2 linked regions of the Elephas maximus indicus genome follow. The protein of the gene in region 2 binds, or shares a complex with, the protein of the main gene of each other region. Links are inferred from orthologs where the notes say so. Each region holds a gene or a part of one and is shown on either strand. Other genes may lie near its edges.

What was found.
Region 1: the proteins of DOCK5 (region 2) and RHOG are in contact, whole or in part, in a cryo-EM structure (PDB 8XM7), measured with the Homo sapiens proteins. The link is inferred for Elephas maximus indicus from reciprocal best matches to the Homo sapiens genes DOCK5 and RHOG. Residues at the interface, in NP_079216.4 of Homo sapiens: Val232, Phe345, Asn393, His394, Lys395, Gly396, Trp400; in NP_001656.2 of Homo sapiens: Ala121, Pro123, Leu126, Arg127, Arg128, Lys130.

What each region holds. Positions count from the first base shown.
Region 1 is NC_064825.1:53,151,916-53,159,767, reverse strand, and holds the start of RHOG (rho-related GTP-binding protein RhoG), read left to right. Parts: upstream 1-4,850; 5' UTR 4,851-4,954; intron 4,955-7,852.
Region 2 is NC_064840.1:48,552,097-48,559,231, reverse strand, and holds the start of DOCK5 (dedicator of cytokinesis protein 5), read left to right. Parts: upstream 1-4,122; 5' UTR 4,123-4,340; coding exon 4,341-4,383; intron 4,384-7,135. UniProt on the Homo sapiens protein: Guanine nucleotide exchange factor (GEF) for Rho and Rac. GEF proteins activate small GTPases by exchanging bound GDP for free GTP. Along with DOCK1, mediates CRK/CRKL regulation of epithelial and endothelial cell spreading and migration on type IV collagen.

The DNA of each region.
Region 1 (7,852 bases), on a different chromosome or scaffold from region 2:
CAGGTGCACTTAAAAGACAGGCCTGGCGATTTGCTTCCAAAAAGTTGCAGCTTTGAAAACTCTATGGGGCAGTTCTACTCTGCATGCATGTGAACCAGAATCGGCTCAACAGCAGCAAACAACAACAAAGAAATTTAATTCTACAGATGTATACTGAAGGCAAATGTGGCCCAGCCCTGCCTGTGCCAGTGGGTGGACAGAGATATGAATCAGACATAACCTCAAAGACTTTTAGTCAGTGGGGGAGTCAGACGTTAGGCACAGATACAATTAACTAGAGCACAAAAGAAGATGACCTAAATGGTATTAAAGAACTATGAGCAACACGCTATATACATAAACCTTGATTACTTAATTACTATTCTGAAAAGTGTATCATCTATCTTTTAGTCAGAGCTAAAAGGTATCATCTAGTTCAACCTTTTGTTTTCCACTGGAGTTGTCTGAGATGTGGAGAAGGGTGGGGCCTAACCTAAAGTCTCTCACCAGTCCATTTGGCTGAGCCAAGACTAGAACCAGTTTTTCTGAAGCCCAGTCCAGGGCTCTTTCCACCTCCTCTTGAAGTTCCATGTGCAATAGTCCCATCTCCCATGAGACCGTGTGAACCTCGAAGCAGAGTCAGGTTCTCCCACCCAAGCAAGCTAAGCTAGGACCAGGAGAGCTCAAGGCACCCAGGGATTCAGGATATGCAGCCTGACCACGGGCTGGCAATCCAGCCCTTTGATCTACTGCACCCCAGTGTGCACCCTACTCTTACCAATATGCGTGTAAAATTTATTTTCTTCAAGTATTTTTTTTGCAGGAAACACTTTTTTTTTTTTTTACATGAAGTCTTTACCCAGAGCCAGATCCATTGCCATCAAGTTGATTCTGACTCATGGCCACCCCATGAGTAGCACTGCTCCATAGGTCTTTCTTGACTAATCTTTGTGGAAGCAGGATGTCAGGTCTGTCTTCCACAGCACCAATGGGTGAGTTCAAACCACCAACCTTTAGGTTAGTAGTTGAAAACAAACCCTTTGTGCCACCCAGGGTCCTTTATCCAGGAAAAACCAAGCTTGTTGTTTTCAAGTCAATTTCAACTCCTAGCAACTCTAGAGGAAACCCTGGTGGCATAGCGGCTAAGAGCTATGGCTGCTAACCAAAAGGTTGGCAGTTTGAATTTACCAGATGCTCCTTGGAAACCCTATGGAGCAGTTCTACTCTGTCCTCTAGTGTCCCTATAAGTTGGAATCGACTCAACAACTATGAGTTTGGTAACCCTAGAAGAGGAAGAAGGTCAAAGCCCCACTATTTTCCTGCCCTCATGTCCTGGGAAGGGAACTCTAGGAAGAGAGCTCAAAAATCTTTGTTCTGGAACGTAATTTTTAATGGCTTTAGAGAAGCCATTTTAAGTGTGGTCTTCTGCCAAATCCTGTCTTTTATGGAAACTCACAATCCTGTCTTCGTTCGTCAAACCCGGAGCACCAACCACGTACTCCCACTAGGCTATGGAGGGAATGAGGTTTTCACTTTGTCTCTCCTGTTCTCTCCTTTGCAGAGAGAAGTTGGTCTCAAGTGTTGCTGAACTGAGAAGAGGAACCCAAACTCTGCCTGGGACAGCAGGGGAGGCTTCCTGAGGAGGAGAATCTTGGAGAACTAATTCATCCACTCAGAGTCATTTACCAGCCTAAATCTGATAGCGTATCTAACTTCCCCGTCAGATACCACCAGCCACATGTGCTGTTGAGCAGTTGAAATGTGGCTAGTCCAAATTGAGACATACTGTAAGTGTAAAATACATACCAGATTTCAAAGGTTTAGTACTTCTAATTATTAATTTTTATGTGGATTATATGTTGAATGATAATATTTTTGATATATTGTGTTAAATAAAATATATTACTAGAATTAATTTTACGTGTTTCTTTTTACTTTTTAGCAAATGTCATTATTAAAAGATTTTTTTCTCGGTTCATTTTTTTTTTTCAAATTTTATTTTGTTGTTATTGAGAATATACACAGCAAAACATACACCAATTCAGCAGCTTCTACATGTACAATTTAGTGACATTGATTAACATTTTTCAAGTTGTGCAACTATTCTCATCCTCCTTTTCTGACTTGTTCCTCTCTCTTTAACATAAACTCATTGCCCCCCAAAGGTTCCTAGCTAATCTTTGGAGTTACTCTTGTCAATGTGATCCCATATAGATGTTCTTCAAAGACCACAATGCTCAAGGCAGACCTGTTTTACCAGTTAAGCTAAACTATTGTTTGGTTTTAAGATGAGTTCAGGGATACTTTTGGTTTAAGGTCTAAAAATTATCTCAGGGTGACTAGAAGGACTCCAGTGGTCGTGGCCCCCAGACCTTCTGTTGGCCCAGGACAGGAACCATTCCCGAAGCCAACTCTTCAAACATGGATTGGACTGGACAATGGGTTGGAGAGGGATGCTGGTGAGGAGTGAGCTTCTTGGATCAGGTGGACACTTGAGACTATGTTGGCACCTCCTGCCTAGAGGGGAGATGAGAGGGTAGAGGCAGTTAGAAGCTGGCGCAATGGACACAAAAAGAGAGTGGAGGGAGAGAGCGGGCTATCTCAATAGGGGGAGAGTAATTGGGAGTGTGTAGCAAGGTGTATACGGGTTTTTGTGTGAGAGACTGACTTGATTTGTAAACTTTCACTTAAAGCACAATAAAAATTATTTTAAAAAAATTATCTTAGGGCAATAGTTTCAGGAGTTCATTTACCCTCCCTGGCTCCAGAAAGTCTAGAGTCCATGAAAATTTGAAATTCTGTTCTACATTTCCCCCCTTTTGATCAGGATTCTTCTATAGCTCCGTAATGGTAGCTGGGCACCATCCAGCTCTTCTGGTCTCATGACAAAGGAGGCAGTTGTTCATGGAGGTAATTAGCCACACATTCTGTTATGTTGTTAGGTGCCATCAAGTCGGTTCCAACTTATAGTGACCCCAACCACAACAGAAGGAAACACTGCCCCATCCTGCGCCATCCTCACAATCGTCCTTATGCTTGAGCCCATTGTTGCAGCCACTGTGTCAGTCTATCTCTTTGAGGGTCTTCCTCTTTTTTTGTTGACCCTCTACTTTATCAAGCATTATGTCCTTCTCCAGGGACTGGTCCCTCCTGGTAACATGTCCAAAGTTAACATTCCATATCCTTCTATTCCTGACTGTCCTTCTTCCTCTTTTGCTCCAGGTTAGTAGAGACTAACTGTTGCGCCTTGGATGGCCCCTTGCAAGCTTTTAAGATCCCAGGCACTACTCAAGTTACTAGGAAGTAGAACAGAGGCACTAAACACATTATTAGGCCAATTAACTGGGATGTCCCATAAAACTATGACCCTAAATATCCAAACCAAGGAACCAAATCCCATGAGGTGTTTGGTTGTACACAAACTCAGCAGCTGCTTTTTTTTTTTGTCATTGTCATCATTAGAAAATTTTGAATTACAAATGTGGCTTGCATTCTATTTCTTTTGGACAGCACTGGGAGAGTCAAACGCATGGCAGGGGTGGTTGGGGTATGTGTGTGCTGGAGGGAGGAAAGATGAAGCCAGGCAGGGAGTAGTTTAGTACAGCCAGATTGTGAAAGAATAAGCCGATCTCCCCTGGCCGACTACACAGAAAAGAAGTCAGAGGGAACAGAATGCGCAAAGATCCAAAGATGTGGGCAAGCCCGCTGTGTTTTGAGAACTCATAGTATGACATAAAAAGAAAAAATAAAGAAGCATTTATTGAGTGTTTACTTTGAGCCAGGCACTGACAGTAGGCCTTTTACATCTATTATTTTATCTTTACAACTAACGGGCGAAGGGGACCGTATTCTATTTTACCAAAGAAAGAACTGAGGCTCAGAAAGGTCGAGCTATTTATTCCCGGAGCTCACCCTTTTTTATGTGGAAAACCTCTTGAAGACAGGGCGCCTCTACGGTCTTAAACGCCTGTGAGTTTCTAGAGCACCCAGCATGGGGTTCTGCACGTGGTTGGCGCTGGAAAGTTTGATTTGAACCAAGAATATCAGCTCCAAAGTCAGAGTTCCGTGCAAGGCGTCGGAGCAAAAACACCAGAGGGCGCCCACGAGTCCGCCAGTCCCCCGGGCCCGGACCCCGACCTCCGGCCGCGACCCCGCGGCCTGGGTGCGGCCCTTCAGCCTCTAGCAGCTGCGCGCCCCGGCGGGAAGATGGAGCGCGGGGAGCCCCACGTCCTCTGCCCGCCCCGCCCCCTCCCCAGGGCCCGGCTGAGCCACCGGGTGCGGAACGACGACACGACATCCTGTTTTTGGGCCCGCGGCTCCGCCTGCGCCTCTGCTGATCTTGTCTTTCCCCGTGTGCTGACGCCAGCTCCCCTTCCCCCAGTCTCCGCAACCCCCCCCCACAAAGGGTCTGGGGCCTTCCCACTACTGAATCATCACCACCCCGCAATCCCCCGGGGCTCGGGGCAAAGGTGGGGACTGCCCCAGCGTAACCTATTCTGCCCATTCCCCAGCTGCGGCCATTGCCCGGTCCCTGGGTTTGGCAGAAGTCACCAGGCCTAGGGGCGCCTTTTCTCAGCATCTTCCCGCAACGGGTGGAAGGGACGAGATACAGGCGTGGGGGACAAATGCCTAGCGCCTAGGCTTAGGCCTCTGATGGGACCGGAGCCAAGGAGGAGGCTAGAAGGCCTGACCTTGGCAGGCTTGACTTAAAAGACTCCGGCCAGTGGGCTGAAGGCGGGGAGCCTCGGACCGGGGCGGGGGCGAGGCCGTGGGTGGGGGGCAAGGCTGGGAGAGGGTGAGGCGGTGAGGGCGGGTCGCGGACTTCCTGGTCGTGCCCCGCGCTCCGCCCCCGCGCCCCGCCCCGCCGGCTGGCCCGCCCCCCCCACTTCCTCCGGCCTCCCGCTCTCACTTCCTTCTTGAGCCCGGAGCCGCTGCCGCCGCCTCCCCAGCTCCCCCGCGGTGGGGAGGGCAACAGGTAAGGCTGGGCCCGGGCCGGCGGACTGGGGGACCGGGGGAGGGGAGCCCGGCCAGCGCGGGACGGGGCGCAGGCGCCGGCCCAGGAAGTTTGCTTGCGGGAGGCCGCGGGCGGGAGGTTCTTGGTTCGCTCCAAGTTGGGCGGGCGCGGCCGGTCGGGCGGGGCGGAGACCGGGCCACTGCGAGCCAGCGGCGGCTCGGTCAGAGTGGATTCCCGGCAGCTGTACCGGCTCTCGGGAGCCGGGAGAACCCCCTTAGGCCAGCGTGTCTCTGGCTCAGGGAGGACAGCCTCTGAAGTGGAAGTGCTCAGAGCTAGGATGTGGAACTCAGAGGTGGGGGTGCCCACAGAAGTTGTCGGTGGAGGGCGGTGACCAAGTGTGTGAGGGGAGAGAGTCTCGGGCAATTGTGACATTTGTGAGGTTGAGAGGGGGTAGGTGTCTGGGGCCTGCGAACCCTGGAGACTGCACAGAAAGAGGTCCCGCCCTGGGAGAACGAGGTCACCCCATACCCACACTCTGCAACCAAAAGGACCCGGAGGGAACCCCGCCGACCCCAGTCCTTCTCTCTGTGTGTCTGTTTCTCTGAAGCCCAACCTCCCCATCCCTGGACCCAAGCAACAGGTATTCAGTGAGCAGACATCTGCAGTGCCCAGCTGACCAGTGTCTGGCCTTGCTCTGTGGTGGGTAAACTGAGGAAGGAAAAGGCCTGGTCTTGTCCTGTGGCTGGAGGTGAAAGGACTCTCATTCAGAGATACTGAGAGTTGGACAAGATGGCATAACTGAGATCAGGTCTGTTTTCAGGAAATGGAGAAAATAGGGCTTCTGAGAGGCATCAGGGTCTCTGGCCTTCTGGGAACAATTGGTAGCCATCTACTAGTCTTCCCCCCCCCGCCCCCGCCATTCTTAGTCCCTGAATTCTACCCACTTTCTCATTCTGTCTCCCTCCATCCCTCCTTTAGTCTCCACCCACAAACTGGCCATCACTATCTCCTCTCCTCCCCTCTCCTTCTGTCTTCTTTCCCCCGATCACAGCCCTGACCTCTCCTTAACTACTCTAACCTGCTGTCCATCTCAGTCTCCTGCTGCATCCCCCCCCTCCTTTCGCTATCCGGCTTCTGGCTCCCCACCATCTTGTTCCTTCCATCTCCTCTCATTCTCATAATCTCTCAGTTTGTCACCCTCTCTCTGTCACCTTCCCTTTCACCCACTTCTCTCCAGCTTTGGGGTCAGGATCTACTGTAGAAGACTTGGTGAGTTTGAGAGCCTTTTTGAACCTCCCAGAGACATGCTGCAACCTCTCGGTGATGGAGATGATTAAAGGGCTGGAAAATGTCTGTGTGTGTGTGTGTGTGTGCGCACATGTGCAAGTGTCTCTGTGTCCATATCTTTAACTGGAGACAGCCAAATAACTGCTCTCAGCCTTGAGAGGCCCCAGAGCAGGGGAAGCCAGCAGAATGAAGGGAACCTGCAGTGGATGAGTTGTGGTTAGGCAGGAGGAAGCAGTCCATAGCAGTCAGGGTACAGTAACACAGGAATAAGACTGGTGAGAGAGGCCACAGGAAATCAGAGTCGTCCAGACCCTTGACTGCTTAACCAAGAAGCCAGTCCTGAAGGCTGGGGGACAGTGAGTGGCCTTAGGAGATGAGTCCCTGGCTTCAGCACCTCCTGGTGGGAAGAATAGGATCAGGCCACCTAGGTGCAGTGGAAGAGAGCAAAGGCAGCTGATTTAACTTCAGTCTTAGGTGTTTTCATTTCAGTTCAGGAGAAGAAGATGGGTATGAGGCAAAAGTGTCTGCCCCTCTTCCCTCCTACCTTCCAGAGGCCATCCAGACTGGGCCTTGGTGACCGGGAAGCCCTCTGGAGTTCAGCTCTTGATGCCTTTAGCCATTCTTAATATTCCCTCTATCACCTAGGACCCTACTCCCTCTCTTTTGTGAATTTCTTCCAAGTCTAATTTTAGCCTAGCCTGGCTCTATAAGCTCTTTTTGTTTCCATTCTAGAGCTCCTTTCTCAGGCCTTTGGGATGTATGCTAAGGGTTCCTGCTTCTCTCAAGCTCCTCCAGTCTGCTCTACTCCTATCCGCTAGAAAAAAGAGAAGTAGAGGGGAGCAGGCACTACTTTTTTGGGTTCCCAGGCACAGATAAATGTAAGGCTCTCCCCATTCCTTATCCCATTCTCTTCCCTTCTCACAGTTGTCCCTTTCCCATGAGTTGTTCCTTCTTCCAGTCCTGCTCTTCCACCTACCTGTCTCTCCTACTCTCATTTCTGGGAGGTGCAGGGAGTTTGGCCCCAGGAGGAAATCCCAGGGAGGGGCTAGCCTTGCATAAAATTCCAGCCCTGGGAAGGATGTGCATGAAAGACACTTTCTCGACATCAGGATTCAGTTTAAAAAAAAAAAACTACCCAAGAGTTGTGACACACACGAGTTCAGCATTTTACATAATTGAGCAACTCATGGGACTCTGAGGGTGAAGATAGAATGGATGAGTTCTCCCAGTCAAGATCTGGCAGTACTAGAGGATTGTTAATTGCAAGAAAATCATTACTGGAAAAATACAACAGGGATGAGGAGAATCTAATTGGGAAAATATCATGGGGGAGTCGGGGGGAGCGTTGCCTACAACCTAGGAGATAGCTGTTGAGGTCTTGACTAAAGAAATACTGTCAAGGTCATGGCATGAAAAGAAATGGCTGATGTGAAGTTGTTACAGATCCTGATTGGGAATCTGGGACAACAGGGGTTGCTTCTGGCAAAGTGTTAGGGCAGAAGCGGCTGGTGTAAACTTTTAGGGGCTTATGAGCCAGAAGGTATAAGAGGTTGTAGTAGCTGGGGTACTGGGAAGCAGAGGGAACCCTGACAGTGAATTCAGCTTAATGAGGTAGGAACAACTCCAAAAAGG
Region 2 (7,135 bases):
CAACCAAGAAAATGGCAACTCTATTCACCAGTTCTGTCTGTTTGCTGTACTGTGGTGGCTTGTGTGTTGCTATGATACTGGAGGTTATGCCACCGACATTTCAATTAACAGGGTCACCCATGGTGGACAGGTTTCAGCGGATCTTCCGAACTAAGAGTAGGGAGAAAATTCTGACTATGTGCTTCTGAAAATTAGCCATATAACAGAATACTGTCCGATGCAGTGGTGGAAGATGAGCCCCCTAGAAGAGAAGGCATTCTAAATACAGAGTGGCCATAATAATGGACTCAAGCATACCAAAGATCATGATGATGGTGCAGGACCAGGCAATTCTTCATTCTGTTGTACATAAAGTTGCCATGACTGCAACTAACAATGATTTGCCAGGAACTCAGGCCCAATATCCTGAAGTCATCCTTGACCCCTCTTTTAGCTATACTCAGGGGCAAGGGCCAAAGTTTGTGGGGACTGAAGCTTATATAATGGGGGTAGAGCTCTCTAAAAAAATAATAAAGAATACAAACATATCCTTTTTTAGAAATTTTACAAAAACTGTTTTTAAGAAAGCACACTGAGAGGCCCTGACACTCAAGCTTTATTAGCCTCATAGTAAATCCTCTACCCACACCCCACACCTGTTGGTTCTACCTTCAGTTTTATGTCAAGAACCCAGCCTCTTTTCACCACTCCCACTTCCACCATCCTGGTCCCAACTCCCTTCATTTTTTTTAATTAATTTTTATTAAGCTTCAAGTGAACATTTACCATTCCAATCAGTCTGTCACATGTAAGTTTACATACATCTTACTTCCTTCTCCCACTTGCTCTCCCCCTATTGAGTCAGCCCTTTCAGTCTCTCGTTTCGTGCCAATTTTGCCGTCTTCCCTCTCTATCTTCCCACCCCCCTCCAGTCAAGAGTTGCCAACACACTCTCCAGTGTCCACCTTATTTAATTAGCTCACTCTTCATCAGCATCTCTCTCCCCCCCCGCTGACCAGTCCTTTTCATGTCTGATGAGTTGTCTTCGGGGATGGTTCCTGTCCTGTGCCATCAGAAGGTCTGGGGAGCATTGCCTCCGGGATTCCTCTAGTCGCAGTCAGACCATTAAGTATGGTCTTTTTATGAGAATTTGGGGTCTGTATCCCATTGGTCTCCTGCTCCCTCAGGAGTTGTCTGTTGTGCTCCCTGACAGGGCAGACATCGACTGTGGCCGGGCACCAACTAGTTCTTCTGGTCTCAGGATAATGTAGGTCTCTGGTTCATGTGGCCCTTTCTGTCTCTTGGGTTCTTAGTTGTCGTGTGACCTTGGTGTTCTTCCTTTGCCTTTGCTCCAGGTGGGTTGAGACCAATTGATGTATCTTAGATGGCCGCTTGTTGGCATTTAGGACCCCAGATGCCACATTTCAAAGTGGGATGCAGAATGTTTACATAATAGAATTATTTTGCCCATTGACTTAGAAGTCCCCTCAAACCATGTTCCCCAGACCCCAGCCCCTGCTCCGCTGACCTTTGAAGCATTCATTTTATCCCGGAAACCTCTTTGCTTTTAGTCCAGTCCAATTAGGCTGACCTTCCTTGTATTGAGTGTTGTCTTTCCCTTCACCCAAAGCAGTTCTTATCTACTAATTGATCAATAAAAAACCCTCTCCCTCTCTCCCTCCCTCCCCCCTTTGTAACCACAAAAGTATGTGTTCTTCTCAGTTTTTTCTATTTCTCAAGATCTTATAATAGTGGTCTTATACAATATTTGTCCTTTTGCCTCTGGCTCATTTCGCTCAGCATAATGCCTTCCAGATTCCTCCATGTTATGAAATGTTTCAGAGATTTGTCACTGTTCTTTATCGATGCGTAGTATTCCATTGTGTGAATATACCACAATTTATTTACCCATTCATCCGTTGATGGACATCTTGGTTGCTTCCAGCTTTTTGCTATTGTAAACAGAGCTGCAATATCCCTTCATTTTTTGCCTGAACTAATAAGTAGCTTTCCATCTGGTCTTCCTGCTTTTCCTCACCCCTTTAGTCTATTCATCACACAGCAGGCAAATTAGATCACGTCCTTGTTGATTCAACATCCTCCAAACTTCCCATCTCACAGTAATATATAAAGTCCTTATTTATCTGAACACCCATTGCCTCTGGACCATGTCTCTCCCATGTTCTTCCCCTTACTCTGCTCTCACCACACCGAATCCCTGGCTATCTTTGGAAATTGCTGAACACGCATCAGGGCCTTTATATTTGTTATCCCCACTGTCCGTAATTCTTTCCCCTGAAGTCCTCACTTCTTCAGGTCTATACTTCAATGTCATCTTAGAGACGCCTTCCCAGATCACTCTATATAGGATAGCAGCACGCCCTACACATTCCATCTGCCTTGCTTTGGATTTTTCTCCATAGACCTTATCACTACCTGGTATATATTTGTTGTCTCACTCTTCAGTTCTAGAATGTAAGCTCTATGATGGCAGGGATTTTACTTTATTCACTGACGTACCCCCATTCTTAAAACAATGCCTGGTATCTAGCAGGCACTTAATAAACATTAGTGGAAGGGACGAATGAAGAAATGAATTCTTTAACCTGGGAAATCAGGTTACTCATGTTATCATTGATAGAGGAAAAGAAATTTTATTTTCAGGGAGATGGAATACCTTTTGGATGTCAAGCCTGAATGACAGGGGAATCTCTTATATTAAGTTTCTGATTCTATTTTGTGAATAAATACTTGTTGGGTGATGCAGAAGAAAGTAAGCCCTGAGAACTACCCACCTTAAACAGGGTTTTTTTTTTAGACCTGGCTTTGCAGAAAGTTATCAGAATTATAATGCACTTATTCTTCAAACAAGTTTTTACTATATTTCGCTGCATGATTATTTTATCTTTCTTTCCTTTCATGCTCAAACACGGAAGAAAACCTTCACAGACTGCAAGGGTAATGCAATTTCTTTCAAAAGGCATTTTCTCAGATGGTGAACATAATTAAGCTTGTCATTTACTCTGTTTGAGATTATACTTCCACCGCGTGAGATAGCAAGAAGCCCCCTGAACTCCTGTGCCTTCATTTGCTGAAGTCTCTCCCAGTGAGTTTCAAAAAGGGGAGTTCCAGAGAGGGCTCCAATTGGAACCCGAGGCAGTTCAAATGCGCAGTCCCAGTTTTCGATTTCTTGTCAATACAGTCAGTGAACCAGAAAAAGACATCAATGTGCCCGGTCCCTTTCTCCGCAGGGATGCTCTCTGGACTGCTGGCTCCCAGGAAAAGGGAGTCTTGGGGCAGATCCTTTTTTCCCTGAGCAAGAGTGAATGAATTTCTTCAGCTGGAGAGGTATTCCGGCGTTTTACGGGATACAGGACTTAGAAACTACGGCTTTCTAAATAATTCCCCCACAGAGGACCCATCAGGAAACTATTTGATACTAATGAGGAGCCCGTCTCCCTCGCACCAGCTCTCTACTTACCAGAAGACAAATGTCCCAGCTTTGAGAGGCTATAAACGGTGGCCACAGGAGATAATGTCTGCCCCGGAGTCCGGCTGGCTTCCGGCTCGCGTGGTGTCTGTTAAAGCTCTAGGGGATGAACGCAGTAGTCAACTGCTCATTTATTCAACAAATATTTATTGAGCGCCGGGCAAGTGCCAAGCGCCAAGCACTGGGGAGTTCCCTCCGGGGCGAGACACAACCTCTATTAATTCATTCTGTTCCCCGCCCCCGCCCGCCCCAAAAGGCTCCGGAGCGCACAGTGGGCGCAGACTCCCACTCCTCGCCCACCGGTGCCCCGCAGCCCGGCCCGAGTGTGCTGGGCGCCTCCAGCGGGGAACTCGCCCCACCGGATCCAGTCTCTTGGGTTTAATCCGGTGTGGGGAAGGCGGGGGGAAAAAAAAAAAAAGAAAAAAGCCATACCCCAGAGTCAGCCCTGGGAAACTGCTCCCAGAAAGCGCGCAGGGCCGAACGAGCACGCCCGGCGTGGGCGAGCCGGGAGTCCCTGAGCCGGCGGGCAGGCTGCCTCGGGAGCTAAGGGCGCGGCGCGGGGTGGGGCGGCGGGCAGGAGGAGCCGGGGCGGTGCCTCGAGGGCGCAGGGCGGCGCGGCCGCCCGGCCCAGCAGGTGACCGCGGGCGGCGCGGGCGCGGGCGCGGGCCGGGTGGGACCGGCGGCGGAGCGGGTCCAGTCTCGGCGCGGGCGGCGCGCAGAGCCGCGGAAGACGGCTTGCAGGGGTCGCAGCGAAGTTTGACGGAACATGGCGGAAGAGCCCGGGGCGCGGAGCAGCGCGGGGCGGCGGCGGCCGGCGCCGGAGGAGCTGTAGCCGCCGCAACCGGTGCCGCCGCGGGGCGAGGTCGCCGCCATGGCCCGCTGGATCCCGACCAAGAGGCAGAAATACGGAGTTGGTGAGTGCTCGGCCTACCCCGCCCCCCGACCCGGCCAGCTTCGCAGGTCTGCAGCGGTCGCTGCAAAGTTCGCGGGGACTGGCCCTGCCCGCGGGCGAGTCGGGCGGTGGAGTCCGGCGATTTGCAGAGCGCGCCGCCGGCGCCGTGCCGGGCCCCGGGCTCGGGATCTGCGGCCCTCGCGGGTGCCTGCGGGGCTGAACTCGGGCTGCCGCCGTTACTGGGAGCGGGGCGGGCTCGGGGCCCTCTCCCGGGAGGGGTCAGTTGCCGCCCCGGTGGGGAAGTAACTCGGAGTTTTTGGAACCTGAGCGGCTAAATGTGCATTTGGGCTTCGGGACTGATAATCCGCTCCCAAATAAGATTTATCGTGTTGCATAGTAGACGCGTCAAAAGTGAGGGAACCCGCCTGCTATTCATTTGGGAAGCCCAGCTCTGTTGCTCCCCTCCTTCCGCCCATCCGTTTGGTTTCATTCAATGTTTGTAAGCAGCCGAGGTCCGCCGAATGGGAATGCTAGTCGTTTCCCAGTGCTTTCCGACTTCCTTCTTCATAGGTTCCTCTCGGAGGCCTCAAAGTGAGACTGGAGGATAGAAACACGCCTCCTCCCCTTCCCCCGCTTTTCCCTGGGACAGAGTGCTGAGCACTGGAATCTTGCTAACAGTCTGTAAGCTGAGTGGAAAACTGAATTTGTGGTTTGAAGCGATGAGAGGAAGTGTGTGGCTTGGGAAGGGGTGGCTGGCCTCTGGGGCCGTTTGTGCAGACACTCCTCCCCTAACGGAGCTTGTGTGGAGACGGTATAAAGTGGTCTTCAGAATCCTCTTTTTCATCGTGGGGTAAGATGAGGAAAGTTTATTCAGAAAACTCTGTGACAGGTCCGGAGCTAGGCACTTGGCATTCCTAATGGCGGTGCTGGAGAGCCCTAGCATGTGCGGAGGGATTCCTGTTGTGTTGGTTTGGCACAGGGACAAATGGCTTTGCAGGCTTCTGACGCAGGTGAAAAGCCATGCTCCTTCCCCTTTTTAAGTAGACCCGGTGGCGCAGCGGTTAAGCGTTGGGCTGGTAACCAAAAGATCAACAGTTGGAACCCACGAGTCGCTCCGCGGAAGAAAGTTGTGGCAGTGGGATTCTGCTTCCTTAAAGATTACACCCTTGGAAGCCCTATGGGACAGTTCTACCCTGTCGTATACCGTCGCAATGAGTCCAGTTGACTCGACGACGGGTTTGGTTTTTGGTTTTCCACCTTTTTTTTTTTTTTTTAAATCAAAGAGATGCTTTGTTGAGGTCTTGTGGGGGGAACTGTGCCATTAGCGGGGGAGATTGCAATGGCAGTGATAGAGGTCAGAGTGATTCCCTAATATAAACATAGCTGTGTATGTTGAGAATTTTATTACTTCCTCTCATGTTCATTCTTTTGGCCTATTTGTAATTTCTTTTACTTCATTCTGTCTCTAACCCCCATTTTTCCTGGAATATCTAGGGAGGAGCCCCTAAACCAATTCTGAGCTTTTCCACATCTAAGTTTATTTCAGAGATAACTCTTAAGATCTCTAGGTGATTTGAGCTCTGTAGCCATTAAAGGGAGCCCCTGGGTAGTGCCCATGGTTAGCTAGGCTACTAACTGAAAGGTTGGAGGTTCAAGTCCACCCAGAGTCTCCTCAGAAGAAAGGCCTGGCGATCTACTTCCAAAAAACCAGCCATTGAAAACTCTATGGAGCACAGTTTTACTCTGACACACATGGGGTCTCCCTGAGTCAGAAAACTGATAATCACTAAGTACGAATTGCAGAAAAGTTATCAAATCTAAGTTTTGTTTAACTGAATAAAAACTGTGTTCAAAAGTATTATGACTTGGGCACAATTAATGTAAATGTATCCCCAAAATGTGGTTGGTTGTATTGCCATAGTCATAGGAGCAAGTACGATAGTTTTTCTTTTTAACTTTTTTTTTTCCTTTCCTGGAGTTAGTTTTCCATGTTATTTATCATTAGTCAAGAAAAATATTTCAGTAGCCTTTTCAGGACATAGGTGGTAGCACAGTTGCCCCAGGATGTAATTTGGGACACATTTAGCAAAACATAAAGATTCTGATCCTTTACATTTGGTACAAGGGCCAACACTTAGGACAGATTAACTCAAGAGATAAATCTTCATTGTTTATTCCTAAAACACATGATTGTTCATATCACCTCTCTGCTCAGAAGCTTTCCATGCCCTACAGGGTAAAGTCTAAACTGAGCCCAAGTTCCAGTGTTCCAACAGGTCTGATTCAACATATCATCACCATCCTTATCTCCCATGGCTTCTTACGTTAAGCCTCCAATGCAGACAAACTGCTCTTCTCACTCTTGTGCAATACATCACGGAGAGTCCCTCCTTCAGGACTTTGCTCTGACAGTGCTTGTTCCCTGCCCAGAATGCCCTCCCACCTCTGCACCCCACAGTGCAGCCTTCCCATAGCGCTCAAATCTGTTCCCACTGCCTCCCCCAAATTTGCTGTCTGCCACAGCTTCCCAAACCTCCACACCTCTTCTTTACAATCCTGCGTTACTCCATACCTTATTTTGTGCTGATCCTCCTGTATTTGGGTTCTCAAAATCAGAAGGTGATGGTTGTGTCCCTGTCACTCAGGAGGTATACAGGGTGTATAGTGTACATTCAGTAACTGCTTGTCCTTGATGTTGGAGTGGCTTTTTAGAGTAGATGACATAATTTCTGTGGTGAATTAAATGCAGTTTTTCCCCCTCATTCACCCCGATA